Linked DNA regions of Struthio camelus. The protein of the gene in region 2 purifies or fractionates together with the protein of the main gene of each other region. This does not show direct contact. Links are inferred from orthologs where the notes say so. Each region holds a gene or a part of one and is shown on either strand. Other genes may lie near its edges.

Evidence for each region. Proteins that work in one complex are often made in the same cells at the same time.
Region 1: the proteins of NPM3 (region 2) and NEPRO purify together in Homo sapiens (affinity purification with mass spectrometry; 4 studies listed by BioGRID and IntAct, with this or other methods). This does not show direct contact. The link is inferred for Struthio camelus from reciprocal best matches to the Homo sapiens genes NPM3 and RMP64.

Annotation. Positions count from the first base shown.
Region 1 is NC_090942.1:96,834,048-96,844,202, reverse strand, and holds the start of NEPRO (nucleolus and neural progenitor protein), read right to left. Parts: upstream 4,278-10,155; 5' UTR 4,182-4,277; coding exon 4,091-4,181; intron 3,981-4,090; coding exon 3,826-3,980; intron 3,546-3,825; coding exon 3,469-3,545; intron 3,354-3,468; coding exon 3,222-3,353; intron 2,901-3,221; coding exon 2,823-2,900; intron 1,832-2,822; coding exon 1,470-1,831; intron 838-1,469; coding exon 776-837; intron 481-775; exon of another isoform or gene 287-480; coding exon 36-286; exon of another isoform or gene 1-35. Other genes in the region: protein spire homolog 1-like, read left to right, coding at 5,331-5,571, 6,331-6,362, 6,924-7,088, 8,048-8,173, 8,459-8,524. UniProt on the Homo sapiens protein: May play a role in cortex development as part of the Notch signaling pathway. Downstream of Notch may repress the expression of proneural genes and inhibit neuronal differentiation thereby maintaining neural progenitors.
Region 2 is NC_090948.1:16,434,716-16,445,414, reverse strand, and holds NPM3 (nucleoplasmin-3), read left to right. Parts: upstream 1-5,842; 5' UTR 5,843-5,928; coding exon 5,929-5,962; intron 5,963-7,276; coding exon 7,277-7,362; intron 7,363-8,104; coding exon 8,105-8,224; intron 8,225-8,918; coding exon 8,919-9,012; intron 9,013-9,411; coding exon 9,412-9,509; 3' UTR 9,510-9,525; intron 9,526-9,675; 3' UTR 9,676-10,258; downstream 10,259-10,699. UniProt on the Homo sapiens protein: Plays a role in the regulation of diverse cellular processes such as ribosome biogenesis, chromatin remodeling or protein chaperoning. Modulates the histone chaperone function and the RNA-binding activity of nucleolar phosphoprotein B23/NPM.

The DNA.
Region 1 (10,155 bases), on a different chromosome or scaffold from region 2:
TGAGACCAAGAAACACCACACCCATGTAAAGTTACCTGCATCCTTGAGCCTCCACATGGTGCAGCCGGTTGCTTTTCAGTAACTTGTTACGCAGAAAATAAGCTTCTGATTTGAGTTTGTTGCCTTTGCACCACGGAATAGCTTTTCTGAGTGCCTCTGACAGTTCCCCGAAAGAGGTAGCGTTTTGAAACATCGGTACAAGAGATCTAGTATGCTGTGATTTTGCTATACGAGAACAAAGTGACACTGACTCTGCTTTAGAAGGTGTTGAAATGATGCTTAAATCCTGAAACAATGCGCAAAATGGAAGTAGTTAGCCTTTTAAAAACACAACACACCTGATCCTCTGTTGGAGGGAAGCAGAGCATTTGAGTTATTTGTGACAGCTTTCTTTATAAGGAGCAAGTGGAAGAGCAGTCTTGTTTACTGGAATACCAAAAGAGGCAGACCATTAAAATTTGTATTTCTGTCTACCACTGACTTGCTCTTGTGTTTTCACTTGTATTTCCCCTCTGTGAAATAAAGAATAAGATACCAATACGTGCTCAAACTCATAAAGAAAAGATTAATAGTGTTTTTCAATGCAACACTTCCGTGCTGACCTGACCGGTCAAAAAAGCCAAACTGAGGAAAACACAGCTAGTGCTTTAGCAGTAGGCATTCTAGGAGGGAGGGAGGGAGGGAGGGGACGACACATTTTCAATCACAAATGTCACATTTTGAGTCTAAGAGTCTTTTAAAGTTATAAAAAATGGTGTAAAATGGTGCCACAAACCTCTTGGGCTGGACCTCTGGATGGTCTAAGCAAGCTCTTCACATCGAACTCCAGGTGCTTCCCTGCAGCGAGAGAGAGAGCTGCCATTATGAAATGAGGACAGGCTCAAGTCTTCCCTGAAGCGTTTTGCTGTTGTCAGCAGCCTCATACCTGCATACTCAACACTTCTGGTCCAAACAGCAATGGAGGGGAAGGGGACTACACTCATCTCATGTGACCACTGACAGGGGATGAAGAGGATTTAGTGAGTTACAGATGGCTGTAAAGGAGACTTCCATCAGGGAAAGCCTCACACAAGCAGCTGGATGCCTGCGGACACTGGCCGTACCCCATGACTGCTTGGGGACAGCCCAAAACTAGCAGGCACAAGACACAAGCACATAAGAACTACAGACAGTTCTCTTAGCTTCCCTCACTCTCCTTGGGCCCGTCTTTAAAGAGGCAGGAAAACACTAATGACTATATACAGGATCTATTTACTGTACTCGTTACAGCAACACTGACATCATCTACAGCTTTGTAAAGACACAGGTACATGAGAGCATCCTCCTTGTCCAAGGACGGAAGAGGGGAGTTTGTACCGGGACCAAACTCTGTGGGTGGCAGTAGCACTTGGCTCTGTTGGACAGATGTTGGGGTCCGTGGCAGTTTCTGAGGTGCCAGAGACCAGTAGCACTGTGGCACAGTGCTTTACCTCTGCTGGCTCTGGTAACCAGAACTGGCTCTCCGATGTCTGTAGGGCACGGGATGCTCTTGTTTTCCACAACACTTGCGCAGGTCGCCAAATCTCTCTTTTTCCTGGCCTCTGATGCTGCCTCTGGCACTGCTGGGAAGAGCTTCTTCAGCCAGCTGGCACTTTTTGCGGCTGTAAGTGTTTTGGCCTTTTTTTTCTTCACCTCAGAAGAGAGAGAAACTCCAAGAAAGTCACTGATGTCAGAAGGGAAGGTAAATCCCTTGATATAAGGCATCTGTTGGGTCTTCGACACGAGATGCAGTGTTGTCGACAACACCTCGTATAAGGAAATGAGGCTCTGCAATACACACCTGTACTGAATCCTGAGGAGATAAGATCGAACAGTATGGAGGCATCTCTAGCAAAACCCTCATAGCTTGTGCTCACTAAATGACTACCTTCAGCTTGAGAGAAGGAGCTGATGGAACAGGTTCCAAGAAGCCCTTTCCCTGTTCCCCCTCAATACAAGCTTTTTCTTTTGCGCTCCATCACCACATTTTCCTTAATATTAGTCTGAGCTCCTCATGTCGACGTGCCCTCCATCTTTAAGGCAACGTTCAAGTTCAGAGCACAGGACTCGTTCAACTAATAAGCCGTGTTTGGGAGCCCCTCCACTTCCCTAGAGCTTCGTGGAGTGCCGCACCGGGCACTCAGCAGGTTCCCAGGTCACACCTAAATCATTCAACAGGAGGTCTTCCCAAAAAAGCAGTGCGTACCAACTCAGGACAACTGTGCTAGCACTGATGCCCACGTGGTCTCCTGCTCCATAATAACTGGAGAAGGACAGATTTCGTGTGCCAAACGCCGTTACTGAGTTCTTGTGCACAACGCTTATTTCTTCAGCTACAGACAGCAGTTACTTGCTCAGAGCTGCTCTGCAGGACTGAGACAGACTGGAACAATGACTTCCCTGGAAAACTCAGTAGTAATATATATAGAACAGCTTTATCTCAGCCTTTCCATTTCAGCACGAGGCAAGTCTTATTGCTCACTGCAAAGAGTACCAGGTGGTAGTGTTTGTGGCAGGCTGGCATTAGCGCTGGTTTTATTAGCGCTACGTAAAGTTTGCAATGAACTGAGTACAAAGCCTTCCAAAAGGGCAAGCAAGAAGTCTCCAGTTATACAACCCTTCAGGTGCTAGAATCAGGTCCAAAGGGATGGAAGGACTTCTAATTCCCCAGATCCTTCCCCCACCTCCCAACTGAATAAAGCTCACTCAGCAGCAAGGCCTAATTACAAGCCCTTCTACCTGACAGGCATGTCAAACAGACAGAGACTGTGTCAAACAAACAAGAGACACTTGAAAACACAAACCATAGCCGGCTCAACAACCCTGAAGCCACAGTGTTCAAAAGTATGAATTCTTCTGAGCAGAGATGTTTAACTGACAAGCTGAAGATTACACCAGTTAAGGTTAAAAAACAAACAGCATGTAATGAGACTTGTTGAACACGCCAACTCGAGGCAATTCACAAGGTAATATCCTGGATAATTTGGCCAAACTTTGGGTTGCTCGAGGCCAGAACAGCAGCCAGCCAACAGCCTGAGGTTCTTCCATAACAACTTAAAAAGATGCTGTTTGGCTGTCAAGGAAACTCCAGCAACATGAATTGCATGGTTGAGTCCATCAGCAATACACGGCCTACAGCAGATCTGGCCTCATGAGGTGCTTCTGGTGATCTGTAAGAATGCTTTTACGGGGAAAAAGGATACAGAAATGCTTTGCAGCAACAGTCCAGCAGACGCAGTAAGAGCTTGCAACCTCCCAAAACCTTCACAGCAACTGTTTCCATCATAGGCTGGCTGGGAACGAAGCACTCCCCGTGGGCGTGGGGTTTATTTTTCCTGTGTCGATACAAGGATGAGGAGATGGTTATGATCTGGCGTTTCTAGCCTTTTCTCCTTTAGCTCTGAAGACAGAGTTAACGGGTAGCGTAACACACAGGGTCACGATACTTACTTGGGAATGAGTCCGGCCAGGGTTTCAATGCAACCCACCAAGTTCATTTTCCATAGGCGCTTCAAGCACTGCTCTACCTAAAGAAAAAGAAAAATTCCTTTGGCTCACGTTTTGACAGATGAGAGCTCCTTGGCCCTAAGGACCACCTTTAAGCGAAGCCACCCCTTCTTCCCCTTGTCAGTTTAGTGGTACGGCCACTGGATGGAAACGCGACCCCCTCCCCACCCCGGGCAAAGCCAGCGCCGCCGGACCCGCCCCACAGCTGCCGGGCGGGCACACGGGGCCCCGGCGCTGCAGCCCCGAGGCGGGCGATCCGCCCCCCGCCGAGCGCGCCCCCCCGGGCCGCGGCCCCCTTACCTGCTGCAGGGCCAGGAAGGGCCGGTGCCGCCGCAGCCTCCGCTGGTGGACGTAGAGCACGGCGCGCAGCACGCGTCCCTCGGCGCCCAGGGCCGGCCCCGACAGCCGCTCGCCGGCCGCCTCGCACCGCCGCCGCAGCGCCGGCAGCCACCGCACTGCGGGGCGGCAGGCGTCGCCTCAGCGCCCGCCGCCGCCGCCAACGCCCGCCAACGCCCGCCCGCCAACGCCCCCTCCCCCCCCCCCCCCGCGCGCGCGCGCGCGCGACCTGCAGGGTGTTGGCCCGGCAGGGCCACCGTCGCGCTGCTCGCGGGCCACGGCACGTCCAGCCGGTTCCACGCTGCCTCGGGCGCCGCCATCTTCCCCAGCGTGCGGCGGAGCGGGACGGGGCGGGGCGGGGCGGGGCGGGCGGAACCACGCTGTGGCGCTGGGCGGGAGGACGGGCGGAACCACGCTGTGGCGCTGGGCGGGGGGACGGGCGGAACCACGTCGCCGCGGCCGAGGGGCGGGCGCAGCGAGGCCTCCCGCCGGCAGGGGTGGGGGGAGGGCGGAGGCCGGTGCCTGCCTCTGGCGGGCTGCGCGTCCAAGACGTCCGAAGACGAGAAGCCAGAACAGAGCCGAAACGACAGAGCGTTCTGGCCGCTCTGTGGACCGCACGGCTCCGGGGCCCGCCTCGGGAGCGCGGGCAGTTCGCCCTGCGGCCCCCTCAGGGCGGCGGCGGCGACCCCGCTCTTCAGGGCGGTTGTGCCTGTCACGGGCTGCCCGACTGCTCCCTCCCGCCACGCGCCCCCGGCTCCCCAAGCGCAGAAGGACTCGCACCAGGAGCCATTAGCAGCCGCGTTTTGACCAAGGAGGGGCCCCTTTCCCCCCGCAGCCTTGCCCGGGAGCTGCCCTCCCACCAAACGACCGTCCGGCCCGCGTGGAGCCGGCTGCGCTGCTGCTCCCCGCCTGGGCTGTCAGTGTTTGTTGTCTCGGGGCCTGAAGGCCGAGGCCAGGCAGGAGCCTGGAGAGCTCTGCAGGAGCCCTGCAGAGTTAGTTGCTGTTATGTCTTGGCGCTGGCAGCCCTGTTCCCCATCAAACTGCTTTATTTGTTACGGTTTTCCAAGGGGGTTCTTCTCCCCCGAATATAAGACATTATTTCCTGCTTGCCTGAAGTTGGCCTGACTCGTTGTTAACCTGCAAACAATAGTACTCCCCTTAATATATTTGTTAGAGTCAATGAATTTCAAAAGCCCCGCCTTGTCATCTTTTTAGATTCCGCTTTGTTACGTATTTTCCATCTTTCAGAGAGGCTTGTATAAACACCTGGTAAAGAATGGTGTCCCTTTAAAAAGGTAGAGCAAAATTGGCTTTAATGATCACACCTGAAGGGAAGAGAGTGAGTGAGAGAGCAAACATGCAGGCAGAACTGATAAAAGGCTGCAATGAGCCCTTGCTTGTGTTGGTAAGGGGGTGCTAAGCTCTCTGGGCTCAGAGCAAGGCCTAGGAGATGCTGGGTGAAGGTAGAAATGGAGCCTTTGCAGTGTGAGTGGAGGGTCCCAAAGGTGTCTCTCGCAGAGATTCTGAGGTGCTTTGAACATCCTGTAAGTGAGGAACAAGCCTGGGCTATTTGCTTTCAGTGCTGCTCTAAAATGGAGCAGTTGGCTCAGGGGCTGCACCCGTTGCTCCATGCTGTTGTCATAAAAGGTCCTGGGAGCGTCTTTATCCATGCTGATGGCACTGCTTCCTTCAAGGTGTATCAAAAGTCTGGTAAGAACATGGACAGCTGTAAATGCTAGGGGTTGTTCCCATAACTAGCTCTTCACTAGCTAAAATAGGGGGACATGCGGCTGTTCTCCTCCCTGTACCCTGTTTAAAAGGACTTTAGGTGAGTGGTAATGTGTATGTGCAGCTTACTAATTTTTCCAGTGCTCCTCCTGTGAATCGTGGTTCTAGGGAATAGCTGAGATGAGAGTCTATTACCACTTATGTTATTTGAAATAAATAATCTGAGGCTTTATAAGTCCTGTGCTGCTCATCTTCTAAGGTATGGTTCCTTTCCTGTAGTGACTTTCACAATAAATATATGATTGACAGAGACCCTTTTTGTGACCGTGTGAAGCTAGCAAGCAGCAACAAGCTGCTTCTCTTATGTGTTCCCACTGCTGCAAAGCTCAGTGTGAAGCTGACTCCTTGAGAGAAACTTCAGGGGCAAGAGTGGGTATTAAGGAATGAAGACAAGGAAGACCCATCCTCTTTCTTGAGGTTGGATATCTACTAGCAAATACAAAGAAGTATCCAGCAGCAGTTAGTTAGCAGTTTGTGCTAATGCTCCCAGTAAATAGAAAGTGCATCTTGTGCTGCTCTGCAGGAGTCCCCAAGTGCAGGTCTAGGTTCCCCAGCTGGGACTGATCTGAGTCAGAGGGATTTGTTTCCTCATTACCAAGAATTCTCCCAGATATTCTAAAAGCTGTTTATCAGTCCCTATGCAATTATCTTTTTAGCCCTCCTCTCCTCTTTCCCTTTTAGATGTTGGCAACGCTCAGGAGTTAGAGCACAAGGTAAGCCCATGTCTTCAGCTTCATACATGTGCCAATATAATCCTGCTTGTCTCCTGCTGTGGTAGAAAGCCATCTCAGGAGACAGTTTTCTAGGTGTTGAAAATTATCACAGTGCTTATATTTCTTGCGAAATATTTCTCGGGTGAGTAGAGGCCTGTGGAAGTGACTCTGTCCCCTGCAATGTGGAAAAGGAGATAAAACTCTGAAACCAAACTCAACTAAGACCATGGGACTGGGAAATGGTGTGCACAGAAGATACTGCTGACTATGGGTTAGCCCACCCGCTTTGTCTTAAAAACAGATCATCACTTAAAGGTGCTAGATAGGACCGTTTAACACCTAAAAACAGCTTTATTTGGGGAGTATTTCCAGCTAGCTGATGGGCACCTAGCTGCCTTTTGAGCTCCTCTCATCCTGAGAGAGGTGCTCAGTCACGAGGGGCACATGTGGCTGGTGGGCACATGTGAAGGGGCACATGTGGCTGGGAAGCGAGAGCTCTGATGTTCTCCACAGCACTGTGCTGCACTGCTCTGAGACTGCGTCCTTGGCCTGTGTCCGCAGCTGCTGGAGTACTTGGGAGTGGTGATCTATGAAGCTCTGGACTGGGGAATTGACAGTCAAGCAGAGCGAGAACTGAGCGAGCCCTTGGAGAAACTGCTCTCCCTCATGCTGAAACTGGACGATGAGGCGATGAAACTGGCACTCACCCTGCAGGATGTTATCAAGGTTTCCTTCCTCCCACTTAGTAAACGCAGCAGCTTTAGAAGAGTTGATGGAGCAATGCTGTTAATGAGCGGGCCCAACAATTTTCAGGGAAAAGCTGGGTAGTTTAGAAGACATATAGGGCAACATGTGGCTTTCCTATCAGATGGGAAAGGAAAATCACCTTAAGTGCACTGAAGTTTCTATGGCAAAAAGTTAAAGAAGACTGAGCATGGCTCTCATGCAGCTGTGTCTACAGAGTTCTTCTGTACATAGCCTTCTGTAGCTGTACTTTTGGGGTGTGGACAGAGCAACTCTCATTAAGCCCTAGTTTTGAAAACGACTTGTCATAGCCCCAGTCCTATACTGAGTCTTGTGTCTAGACTACAAGATCACCTACAGGACAAGATATATGTAACTGCTTATAGGCAGCATAACCACCAGAACACTTGTCTCATAGGTATGAAATCCTACCTTTGGAGGCTATAGGTAATTAAAAAAAGTTGCTTCTCCACAATATTCAGTTTCTGAAAGACCAGGGAGTTGAATGTCACAATTCAAACTAGTAGTTTGCTCTCACGTGTAATTTCAAAGTACCATAAACTCCCCATGCCCCAGTCTCACCAGCACGGAGAGTGAGGGTGGGGGAAAGACCAGGACAAGTGTCTCCCCTTGCTATGTTTTGTCATGCCTTGTCTAGTGGAAGCTTCCCCTTCCAGGTACTTATTTAAAAGCAGACCTTATGGAGAACAAGATGTATAAATTACACAGCAACTTACGTTACTGTACATACAGGATCGGGCATCTTTCCTTGTTCCTCTCCATCTGCAAAAGAACAAAAAAAGAGGCAAAAGGCACGAGGAAGATGATTTTTTTTTTTTTTTAACCACAGATTGATGAAATTGAATCTTGCTTTCTTCCAGCCTACAACATTTTTCATTTCAAGGAGATCGTGTGCTCTCAAATAGCTGTTCTCCTTTCAGATTTGTGAGGAGCACCTGTCCAGGCCTTCTGAGGCTGCCAGCCATTACAAGATGACCTGCAGGAGTCTTTTTGCTGAATATATGGAACTTCAGAAGCTTGTGTCCATCATCCAGATTTCCAAAGAGGTATTTTGATCAACACTTAGCTGCTATCCCTTCTGCCTCCACATGTTCACCTAGTTCTACAGAAATCTTCCCTTTGCACTAGAAATGTAATATGTAGCTGAAGGTCTATTTCCATTATGTGAAAGGTTTCTGTCTGCACCAGATTAATTTATTATAGCTTTTGAATGTTTGGAGGCGGATTTGGCTTCTCGACTTTTCAGGTTAGCATTGATAACTCGGACTGGGTAGATAGGAAAGTGCTGGACAAGCACAAGGTAATGACGACCTTGTGTGCTCACTTCTTAGAGTCTGAGAAAAATGGACATGGAAGACTTGCGGGAAAATCCCCTTCAGAAGAAGGAAAAATACTGGGTAAGGGATTTAATTCTTTCATTGTGGAGGGGTGTGGGGTTTTTTGTCTTCCCTGGCTCTCTGAGGCTTTCCAGTGACTCCTCTATGAAAAACAGAGCTTAAGCACACACAAACAAAACCACTTAGGTTGTTCAAGAGCTTAAGTAGTTAAAGACTTGTCTGTAAAACAAGCTGGGGAGTGAACTTGAAGTTAACTACCGTTAAATGTGTTTACCTCATGTGGACACTTATTCTGCACAAAGACACTCTTTGTGGTTCAACTGAAACCACTTCTAAAAGTGAAATTGGAGGCATTCTTTGTGGAGTAAGTGTCCACAAGTAGTTATTCATGCTGTTTCCTCCGCTAAAGGAGCCCCAAACTCTTGGCAGGAATTGATACCTGCTAAAAGCAGTCTGCTCCTTTGTGTAGTTTAACTGGCATCTCCTGGAAAACTGTTCTGTTGGTGGTAGCACTGAGGTGGACTAGTCCATGCCTATCATGTGGGCTCCAGGCTGGTTCAGGGCTGGAGGAGGCTAAAGACGAATAGATCTTTGGCTGTGCAGCTCCAGCAGTCCGAACAAAGGGGTGAAGGACGGGGAGGCTCCCACCTTCTGCTTGCTGCCATTTCTTGTCCATCCCTTCTGTCCTCCTTGGACAGTTCTTGGACTGTGTGTTTGGGGCAGAGAAAGCGACTTCTTCTATTCTCTCTGTAGCCTTGCACAATCAGGGCTCCATCAGAAACAAATAGCTCTTCTGGCTGGAGCTCTGCCCAGCATAAACAAATGCACTGTAGTCTGGAGTCTGTGGAGACAAACGGCAAGCCCCGAGAGACTTGTGGACTTGCTCCCTTTGTCTAAATAGCACTCGCTTTGAAGCGTGCTCAAACTATTTGTATGAAAATGTTTGTGAAATGTGTGTTTGGGCATATTCTCAATTTTGTGATCTATTAAAATAAACTGGCAAGCTGTCTCAAACCACAAACTCATCAACTGCTCTAGCTCTTTTCTGCAGGGAATAAATGAATAAATACATGGGCTTTGCTGTGTGGCCCGAAGGCCAGTGTATTTGGCCTCTGCTTCTTTGGGAGACATGAATTCCAAAGGCAGGATGTCTGTTGCAAATCCTCTGCTAGTTTCCAAGTCCCTAAGCACCGGTTGATTGCATTGTTCTGACAAACTCTTGAGTTTAAAATAACCAGGATGCCAACTTCACTGGGATCCCACAGACTAGGGCTGATGCCTTGAGCAGTGCCAAGCAGCTAGTGCTGTCTGTGGACCACTTTTTCCTATTGACTGCTATGAAACAGGCCTTCTGAAGCACAGGCCACAGCCTGGTATTGGGCAGAGTTGTATCATCTCAGTAGAGTTTACCCATATGTGTTGCAAGGCAATCTTCACCTTGAAGTCGAAGCACTGAGCCCTCTTAGGAGCACAGCTGTCTTACCACCCATCTGTTGAACCGCATGCAATGAGCATGGAGCGTTGTACAGGAAGCAGATGATATTCCCTCTCTGTTCTTCTGTGCTTGAGTAGCATTTTGTGTGGTATCCCACAGGTGCGGGAAGTTTACACTGAGTTTGGTAGTACATGGGATGGCCCAAGTAGAGTAACTGCAGTGAGTCAGTCAGGAGAGAAAGAAAAGTGTGAGTGAA
Region 2 (10,699 bases):
GAAACTGAGATGAATGTTCTTCAATTGGTTCAGTGATGATTTGAGACTTTTCTATCTTGGTAAGTATTGGCAGACAGAAGCCTCATCAACAGAGGAAATTTTACAAATTAGTAATTGTAACTATAATTAATAGCATGTATGTTTTTTTTCCCTTGTCATGAGAGCAGTGTGTTCTGCTCTATTAGAATTGAGCATATGTGAGAAATCTGTGTCTCCAGGGATGTGCAAAAACTCACAAGCTGGTCTGTGGTGCAGTACAGTAACTACAATGTTCTTCTGGAGGGAAATGGCTTTTCATCGAGAGATCAAAGATGTTAAAATGCTCTTGTAGCTCTTTCAGCTCATTGGAAGGGACCCTGGGTGATCATCTGGTTCAGCCTCCTGTTCAAAGCAGCATCAACACTGAATTCAAAAGGGGTTGCTCTGGGCTCTGTCTGGTCAGCTCTTCAAAAACCTCCAAAATCAGAAGGTCCCTGTTCTATTGCTTGATTGTCTTCATGGGGAAAACATTTTTCCTTATATCCAGTCAGAGCCTATTTCAGTTTGCCCATCTTATCCTTTTGCTGAGCATCTCAAAAAGAGCCTGGCTTCACCTTTGTTACCCCTTCTTAGGGGAGACCTAACAGTAGCCTTCCAGTACCTGAGCCTTCTCTTCCCCAGGCTAAACAAGTGCATTTCCCTCAGCTTCTCCTCGCATGACTCTCTCTGGACCGACTTGCTCAATTTTACCAACATTTTTCATGTACCTGGGGAGGACAGGGGTGTCCAAAAGCAGATACAGTATTCTAGATGCAGTCTAACAGCTGCCTAGTGAAAGGAAATAACTGATCTTGATCTCTATTGGGTATGTCCTTGTTAATATGACTGATGGTGCTATTAGCTTTCATTACTGTCAGGGTGCACTGCTGGCTCGTTTTCAGCAGAGGTTCCGGTATGGACCATGAGGATCTCCACTTCTAACCAGGCTCCAGTTAGAACAGGAGCCATTAGTCACTACACCTTATGCCTGACAATTTAGCTGGCTTTTCCAGTCATCTGGTAGTCTACCCACCTAGACTGTAAGATCTCAGCTTGGATATAAGAATGCTATATCAAAAATCTTACTGAGGGCAAGGACATTCATTGCACTCCCCCTTGTCCATAGATTTAATCACTTCATTGCAGAAGACAATCAGGTTGGTCAAGCAAGATTTACCCTTGGAAGATCTATGCTGCCTATTACCAGTCATCATCTTCATGTACCCAGAAATGGCTTCCCAGAGGACTTGCTCCATGACTTTCTCAGGGGCATTTGGATTTTTGCCCTTTTTGTAGTTAGGCATACATTTTGCTCTTCTCCAGTCATCGGGGACCTCCCTGATCTTCGTGACCTTTTAGAGACTGGCCTTGTGGGGATGATGGCCAGCTCTCCCAGCATCCTTTTATGCATTCTGTGGCCTTGTACGGGTTGAGATTTCTCGATTTCTGACTTGACCCTTCTCCGCTGGAATTTCCTCTCCTTGAACCCTGTTTCTAGGTACAAAGGCCCAGGAGACCTTAGTGAAAATGGAGCCAAAGAAATCTCCCTTACTTAGCCTTACCTGTGCCTGTGAGGAAATCACTTACCACATTCAGTAGTCTGTCCCGTTCTCTGCCCCAGTCTTTTCACCAAAACTGCTCTGATGCTGCAAATATTGTTCAAAAATACCTGTCTTGGAACGAATGAAAATGCCAGCCTTCAGATTTGGATGAGAGCTGTGAAGCTTTGCTAAGCTGCATTGATTTAAGACACCACTGCCCTCTGGATGTTTGTTATAACCATCTTGCCATGCTTCCTGGCTCATTTAAAAAAAAGCAGATCTCTAGCCTCTACTGGTCAGTCCTCTCCCTTCATCAGTGGTTTAAGTGAAGACACTGGTGTGAACCAGAGCAGTTGATGCTCAGGCTCATGTTTTGTGTTGCCTGTGTCATTCCAGATGGCTGCGGAGAGCAGCTACTGCAGAAGCAAATGAGTTTGCGGACATCCTAGGTCCTCTTGTATAACTTCAGTGGCACAGTGGTCTTCTAAAACAACTGCAGTTGTCAGAGCCCCGGCGTGTACTGTCCAAGCTCAGTTAAACGCAAAGGGAAAGAGACTTTTCCATTGCAAATAAGTGTTGCCAGGCTAATTTCACCCATCAGCTCTTTACTGCAGTCTGTCATCAGTAGCCAAGTTGAGTTACTCTGAGGAAGTAGGAAAAAAACTGCCACTGTTAGCTGTGGAATAAATAGCTGTACAAAAAGCTACTAGAGACACTGCTTTTGGTCTCTGTGTGTCTCTTCAGAATATTTAGGGTTTGTCTGATTAAGTAAACTGTATGAGGGGGTGTAATTTTTCAGCTAGTCTATTGTGCTAGTTTAATCCTACGTGAACGCTTATGTTGACTTAGAGAGTTCTTTGTGGACAAGAACAAGTTCTTTATATAGACTTAGCACGGACAGTTTAAATTAATCCTATGCGTATTTTGTGACTTTCAGGACAAGGAGGGCAGGCTGTGAGCACGGATGGGGAACTGGCAGCTGCCAAAGACAAACAGCTCTATTCAAGCTCTTGGGCTATCCTGGTGGCACGTGAGCTTAGCTACGCTGGAAGAAGGCAAAACCGTGTGCTCCAGATGCTGGGAAGTTAGTGGCTCCCTCAAGGAAATGGGTGTCTTTCTGAGGCACATTGGGGTGGCAGGTAAGTAGGAAGTGTAATCCTTGCAAGGAGCTTCGTGGCCAACTGATTATTTTGGGGCCAGATGGAGTAGATCTTTTTCTATGTCAAGGATTGTTTACTTCAAGCAGCACCAAATGCTCCCTTTCAAGGGCTCAGGTGTATCTAGCATGCAGGCCTGAAGAACTTGGATAGTCCCCACCAGGTGAGTTTTCTAGCAGAAGGGCTTCAGTTACCTTTGAGTAATGATGTCGATACTTTCTGAAATTAATAAATTCTGTGCATCTCCAGTCCCAGGAACAATACATTTCTAAAGCCAAAAATAACTGTAAGGCAGCTGGTCTTGGTCTGAGTTTTAGAGCTGTCTGCTTAAAAAAAAATAAAATAAAATCATTCCCTTTCTGGAGAATAGCATGTTATGTTCTGGGGTTTTCTGAGTGGTGGTGGAGTTGCAGTTTATAGTGGCAAACAGTCAAGAATAAAAGGAAATAAAAAATATGATCTTAGGTCAGAACCTGTTTTCATCTGTGGTTAAAGGAATGCATCTGGTGAGGGTTAGTGGTTGTAGTCAATGTTTGCAGACAAGAGGATGACTGTGGGAAGGGGTTAGAGTAGTGGCTGGGGAATAGCATTTAAATTAGAGGTGAGGCAATAGAGCTGTGCCACGTTCCCTACTTTGTGGCAAGTGGTATGAGAGGGAACAAGGCTGTAGCATGAACTCCTTCAGGTGATGCAAGCTGTGAGGTTCTCACAGAACTGCTGGGAAAATGCGGGTAGTGGAGCTTGGGAGGGAGGGGAGCTGCAAAGAAAAGCCTTTTTGTGAGCGGGTCAGTCCTGACTGGTATGGGATGGTAACAGTGAAACACAGACCTCCTTGCCTTGGGGTATTGCTGAGGATGGTCATAACCGCGTTTTTTAAAAGTACAGCATACTAATCTGCTCAATTAGAATAACTGGCACGCTCAGAAGGAAGAGTGAACTGTCTGTTTCAAGGCATAAGATGTGCTTTAACTTTGAGGATTTAATTCTTTGTGGTTTTCCTCATTGTGCACTGACAGGAAACACCGGACTTCCTGTGTTCATTGCCTTCTCCCGTAGGCCTTCAATATAGAGCAGGTAAGGCTTTTGCTGTAAGGGATCAGCCATTCTTCTGGCACCGTGGTTGCATTATGGAGAAAATGTACTGGGGTCCTAGTTTCACATCGTGCCTGAATGATGATCCTGAAAGGCTGCAAAATTCTGAGATTTGGGATTTGCTGTCCCAGATGGGTGTTGCAATGCATTCCAATTTTTCCCACAATATCTTGGTCTCTGGGGTTTAAGTGGTTGCTACATCCTTCTCTTGTTGACTGTTTTTGGTGTGGGGAGGAAGAAGGTTTCTTTTATATATATTTCAGTTTGTAGGATTCCTACTGGGAGAACGATGCTTTAGAAATGCAAATGGATTTTAGTGGCAGCTTGAAGCATAGTGTTTATGCTAGCTAGCTGTAGAGTCATCATAATCTGCGAGGTCGGTACCACAAAGTGCTCTTGGAGAGGTTCAAGAAGAACAAACCCAGCTGCTCTGTGTCTGCAAGTCTGAAGTGCTTCCACTTGCCTTCTCTGTGCCGGCAGTTTAGAAACTTTTATAGACATAACTCTCTCTTTTCCCTTGGTGTTGCTGCATCCCATCTTACAAATGGGGATCGGGTTTTTCCTATCCTTTGGTGTGGGTAGGTTTCGCCAGCATAGTAGCTGGCAGCTTAATGGTAGAAGGACTTAGGTAGCTTCTAAGGGAAAGAGATACCACCTGCACCCCTTGCAATTCTCATCTCAGCCTGGGAGACAGGTTTGTGGCCTCTGATGTTGATCTGGGAACTTTTTCTTTAAGGGAATGTAAAGCTGAAATTGGCTCTCTTGCCTCCTTTGCTCTGGGATGTGAGGCTGCAGACAGCGCGTGTACTTAAGGCGTTGCAGCTGGCCAGATGGCTGCGGAGAGCAGCTACTGCAGAAGCAAATGAGTTTGCAGACATCCTAGGTCCTCTTGTATAACCATCAGCGAGTGAACTCTAGCCCTTTTCTGGGACCAGGTTGCGCTCTTCATACCTCTTCAGTCGTGTTGCTGTTGAATCGGCTCCAGTTGGAAGAGAAGAACTGGCCGGCTGGAGGAGTCCTCCTCTGCCAGGGGAGCAGAGCAGGCTTCCAGCCAGGCGTGCGGTGCGAGCTCACCCCCTGAGAGGGCTCTGTTTCAATGCAACCCTGTGTGCTCCCCACTGAAGCAAGGACCCGGCTGCTTCCCCTTTTGCTTTGAGAGGCAACTCTGGCTTTGTGCTCCCTGCTGATTTGAAGCAGAATGTTGCCTTCCCTTCTTCATGGACTTGAAAGACTCGTGTACCTCCGTCCCCTGGGTCTGAGATCAAGCCATCCTTGTTCAATGCTTAAGGGAATAGAGATGAGCCAGTCCCTCCCCCCACACCCACGCTGCTGTCTCAGTTATCCCCTGCTCAGCTAATGATACCCCCCTTAATCTGCTGAGCCTTCTGCCATCCTGGCTATGCCCCTGCCCTCTGTATCTGCCCTGCTGTCAGCGAAGGCGGTGTGCTGGAGATGCCCACGAGAAGGGTGACACGCGGGCGGCAGGAAGGAACCGCAGTTGTTTCCATACCGTGGCCCAGCATAGACTGCGGCATGGTCGTGAGAGGCCTTGCCCTGCCGAGCGCGAGCGCCGGAGCCTGCAGAAGCTCTTGCTTGGCTGAAAGCCCAGGACAGGAAGGAGACCTGCAGTTAAGGGATGCAGTGGTGTCTTTCATCTCCAGGGTGGCTTTTGGGCTGCTCACCATCCTCAGCAATTTCAGGTCCTCTTGCCTTCCAGTGTCCCCCCTCCTGCCTCCCCCCTCAGAAAAATCTTCTGATGGAAGAGGCCAGTTACCAGGAAAAGTCATTAGGATCCCGCTGGGGTAATAACCCTTCCGGTTTTATTGCGAGGAAATAAAACACGATAAATATGACATTACACCAGATACGCCCCCTCTCCGCACGGCTACTCAATCAAGCGAGACCCTCTCGAAAGGACCCGCGCAAGGAGGTAGCGCCCTTTGCTTTCGGCATCCCGAGCCGGCGGCAGCGCCCGCAGCCGGGGGGGGGGGCTCGCGGTGGGGGCGCCCCGGGGCGGGGCGGGGCGCCGGCAGCGGCCGCGGGGGCGGGCCCGGGGCGGGACGGCTCGGCACGGCTCGGCTCGGCTCACTGCCTCCCTCCCTCCCTGCCCTCGCCGCCTCATGGAGCCGCACGGGCCCGGCAGCGTCCTCTTCGGTGAGCGGCAGCGGGGGGCTGACAGAGCCTGGCGGGGCGAGAGAGGGACACGGTGGGAAACGGAGCTGGGGGAGCGACAGGGGGCCGGGACGGAGGCGGGGAAGGGGCGCGCGGGGGAGGTGGGGGGCTATGGGGGCAGGAGAGAGACACGTGGGGTGCAGTAGGGACACGGTGAGGGGCAAAAGAGAGACGTGGGGGCAATTAAGAGAAAATGTAGGAAGTTGGGGAGAGACACGTGGGAGGGGAGCGTTAGAGAGCCCGGAGGGGGTAATAGAGACGTGAGGGGCACTGGGGACACACGTGGGGGGCATTAGAGAGCCCCGGGGGGGGGATAATGGAGCTGAGGGGTCTGGGACGCTGAGGGGAGACACCTGGGGGGCCGGGACAGCGGGAGAGCGCCCTTGGGGGGGGAGAGGGCGACCCACACGGCCCGGGCGGAGGGACACGTGTATGGCCGGGCGCGGGGGGGGAGGCACGTGGCGGCGGCGCTGGAGGGACCGCGTGGGGCGCGGCGGTGACTCGCGGGGCCGGGGGGGAGACGGCCGGCCCTGCTGCCGGCTGCCGCGGTTCAGCCGCTCCGCTGCCGCGTCAGCGCTCCGCGGGTGTCCGCGGCAGGCAGCGCCAGCCTCTCTCTCTCCTCCTCCTCCTGGGGAGTGGTTCCTGCGGCGGCTCTTAAACCCCTGCGACACGTGGCCCTGCTTCACTCGCAAACGTGTGCGCAGGCAGGCGGGTGTGCGCGCGTGTTTCCGTGGCTGTTTTCAACGCGCATCGTCTCAGCCGGCCCGGCCCACGTGCGCTGCGCAAGGGAAGCCGAGCGATCCCCGCGGGCTGCTCCGCGCCTGGCTTTTCATTCCTTGCCCGGCCGAGCAGAGTGCATAAGCACGGCTAATGCCTCTCTTTCCGCTGCAAATGCCGTGTCTGGTACACAGGGCTCAGGTCTGCGTCTTTCCTGTCTGCTTCACATTGGTGATTCATCCTGCAATGAGCAAACACACCCAGGGCGTTTTGCCTCTCTCTCCTGGCTGTGGCCAGCAGAATCCTGATCATAAGAGCAGAAGATGTAACTTTGTGTTGTCCTTGTTCTTGTAGCAGCTCAGTTTTGGGGAGTCAGGGTTTGCCCCCGTAGGGTGCTGTGCTGGGTATATGGTACTCCATGGCACTTTACCCTGAGGCCGAGGCTGCTCCTGAGCATTAAAAACAAGCGTGTTTCAGGGATGCCACGTGCCTGTTGGCCCTGGGCTGGGACTCGCCCTGGGAACCTTGCGTCTGGGCTGTGAAGCTGTTACTTCAGCTTTTCTAATCTTCTGTTTCCAGGCTGTGAGCTGACTGGCAGTACCAAATCCTACACGTTTAAGGTGGATGAGGAGGATGACTCCGAGCACGTTTTGGCTCTGTCTGTGGTAAGAGAGATGAGAATTAGCTGTGTTTGTCCTCTTCCCTGGCAGCCCACAACCTCACCCCTCCTTGCTGGGCTCACTCCCCCTCGGCTGGAGGCCTGGACCAGGCAGTTCCTGTACTGAGGTCTCTGCACTGGCTGCCCCGAGGGCAGGGTGCAGGACTGGTGCTTATAAGCCTTGTATGAAGGTGCGTGAGCCTGGCTGCTCAGAGGGGGAATCCTCTGGACACAGCGTGAAGGAAGGTGTTAGACCTTGCTGGGCCCTCCTAGCAGAACATGGAGACCCGTGGAGCTGGGTCTCCAGCCTGCTGCTCTCAAAGCCCAGGTAGACTCAGGGCTTTGTTAATGTATTTCCTGGCTCTCCCTGGGGGTCGCTGTCTGTCCTGGGAGTGCAGGAACTGCCAGCATGGATCAACAGAAAACGCAGCCCAGGTGCCGCCTCTCGAGGCAGCTGCAGGAACAACTATCCCAGGCACAGAGCTCCTCAGCTGGCGGTAAAGGGGCAATTGCTGCAGGGAGGAATTTTGTGCTCTCCCAGGAATTTGCCAGCAGCCAGTCTATGCCTTTGTGCAACAAAGGTTCATGTCCCATGACTTGCCGTTTTAAGTAGCAGTGTCTGCACACAGTCCTTACAAAGGTGCTAGGCTGGTAGCATTGCTGTGGGTCATTTATCCCAAGGAGAGCCCCAACCGTCCCTGCTTAGTCCCCTGGGAGAGCAGTAATTCACAATCTCTGCTCCCTCCCAGGTCTGCCTCACAGATGGTGCCAAGGACGAGTGCAACGTGGTGGAGGTTGTTGGGCGAAATCACGAGAACCAGGAGATCGCTGTACCTGTGGCGAATCTGAGGTTGTCATGCCAGCCCTTGGTAAGAGGATATCCTGAGCACCCAGGCAGGGATGACTGCAGGGGACTGGACATCTCTGGATATTTGTAAACCTTTTTCCTAGGACCATGAGCTGATCTGTAATTCACTGGGAAATGCCCTAAGAAGCCGTGGCCCGGCTGCAGGTGCCCCCCGAGCCTCCCGGTGTTTGCACATGCTGCTGCTGGGCTCTGTGGAGTTGGTCCTGGCTCCAGGTCTCCCAGCCCCTGCATCTTGTGGGGCAGCCTCGTGGGACTGAAGCCTGGTGACCTGCCGTCTCTGTGATGCCCGTTTGCCTTTGATGAGGGTAGCAATGCAGCTCTGTGGCTTGTACAGAAGATTCATCCTACCAAATGTTTGCATGGGATACAGAGATAATTGTTTCTGGTAGATAACGGTAGTGATAAGATATGGTGGAGGCTGGGAAAAGGAGGTGCAGAGGGGTATGGTCTGGGCTGGGGGGCATCATTCTCTATCTTCTCTCCCTGATCTCTAGGTGGACAATTCAGAGACCAAACTGTGCCCTTGCTCCCCTCACTTCTCCTGTGGTTATTGTAGGGCACCAGCACCCTTGCCACCCCACTTTCTGCCCAAGCTAAGGCCATGTTTAACAGGGCTGTGTGCCCTACTGGGCAGTGCAGGACATTCTGCTTATTGCTTCTGCCACTAACAGCTCCTTCCCTCTGTCTCTTTGCAGCTAAGTCTGGACAACTTCCAGCTGCAGCCTCCAGTGACCTTCCGCCTGGTGGCAGGCTCTGGCCCCGTGCACCTCGCTGGCTGGCACCAGATCAGTAAGGACCTGTGTGTGGGGAGAGGCTCGGGAGGAGTGAGGGGTATGAAGGGGCTTTCCCCAGCACTAACACCTGTGGGGATGCCCCCTCTCCCTGGGGGCGATGTACCTTGGTGCTGCTCAGCACGTGTACTCAGTGCCTCTTCCTACCCCTTTGTGCTGGTTCCCCAGGGATCGTCTCCCTGGTGTTGAGCCCTGACCAGGAAACTGTCTGCTTTTCCCACACTGACCCACGCTGTCTGCTTTTCCCACACCTTTCTGTCACCGTTCCCATCTGAGATGTTCCTCCAGGTGGGGCATGGTCTATTGCCCATGAGCTCTTTGGGCTGCTCTTCTCTTCGAGTGTCTTGGGGGCAAACTATATTTGCAGAAGTGGGTAACAGTTATCTGTGTGTCCCAGCGCACAGGGAGGATGCCTCCTTTGAGGAGGACGACGACATGTCTGAGGAGGAGATTACTCCTGTCATGCCAGCCAAGAAGCAGAGAGGGAAGCAATAACTGGCCTCCTAGCAAGGTGAGGGGCTGGGCAGCCCTGTAAGAAGTTTCCCAGTGATGCTGCCATGGGAAATGCCATGGGTGGAAGCTGTCCTACTGTGCAGTGGTGGTGCGGAGAGGGAACCACTGCAGGAGGCTGCTGGTCTCAGTCTGATTCTTCCTTCCCCAGGTACTTGCTGGAACTCTCCCTGGGATGACTTTTACCTCGGACACCTCTTGCCAGGACCTCAACTTTTGCTGCTTTTTGCTGTAACTTTTTTTGGGGGTGAGGGGCAGGAGCTGCTGCCAGTACTGGGGAGGCCCCTCTCCCATGGCCCTAGGAGGCTGATCCCAAAACTGAGTTGGTGCTGGTGGTATCTCCCCTCTCCCTCCTCTCTGTTCTGGGAGTCAGGCCTGGCTGAGGGAGTCCTTGCCCTGTGCCTTTCTGCTGTTCTGGACCTCTGCTCTGTGCACCCTTGTCCTTCTGGCTCTGAAATGCCCAGTCCTGGCACTTTCTCCCAGGGCTGGATGTACAGCCGGGGTGGAGGACAGTTTCACTGAGATCTTCAGATGTTTGCTTTTCTTTTCATACAGCTTGATGGTTTTTATACAGTCAGAAGTGTTATGTGAAACCAGGGCCCAGGCTGCATCCTCACATGCAGGATGGTGGGGTGGGAGCTCATGGTCTATTCGTGATTTGGGGAGAGGCGCTAGATCAAAATGCTTTGTAAAGAATGGTTTTTACACTTCGAATAAAGATCTCTCAGGCATCAGCTCTGGAGTGGGGGTCACCCTGGTTGGCACGTTCCTCCCATGCTCACTGCAGTGGGAGGTGCTCCATGATGTCCAGACCCCTGACACTTGCCTCCTTTGGTCCCCTGAAGATGCTGTGGATAGGTTGGTTGCAGAGCTCCCTGGAGATGCCCAGGGTCTCCTCTCTCTCCCTTGCGGGCCGTGTGTACTTGCGCCCTGTCACCCAACCCAGTACTGCATCCAGGGTGCAAAGGAAGGGGCAGAGCTGCAGGTGACTGCACTGAGCAGGGATCCAAAGGAAAGGTTACTCAGCTGCTAGTATCACCCCTCCCCCGCCCAGTTTGGGCTGCACCCATCCTGGTGCTGTGGAGCAGCCCATATTGATGCTCAGAGCAAAGAGGTGAATCCTGCTCCTCACTTGTGTCCTCACCCTGGCCACATGCTGCAGAGGTGGGGAAATG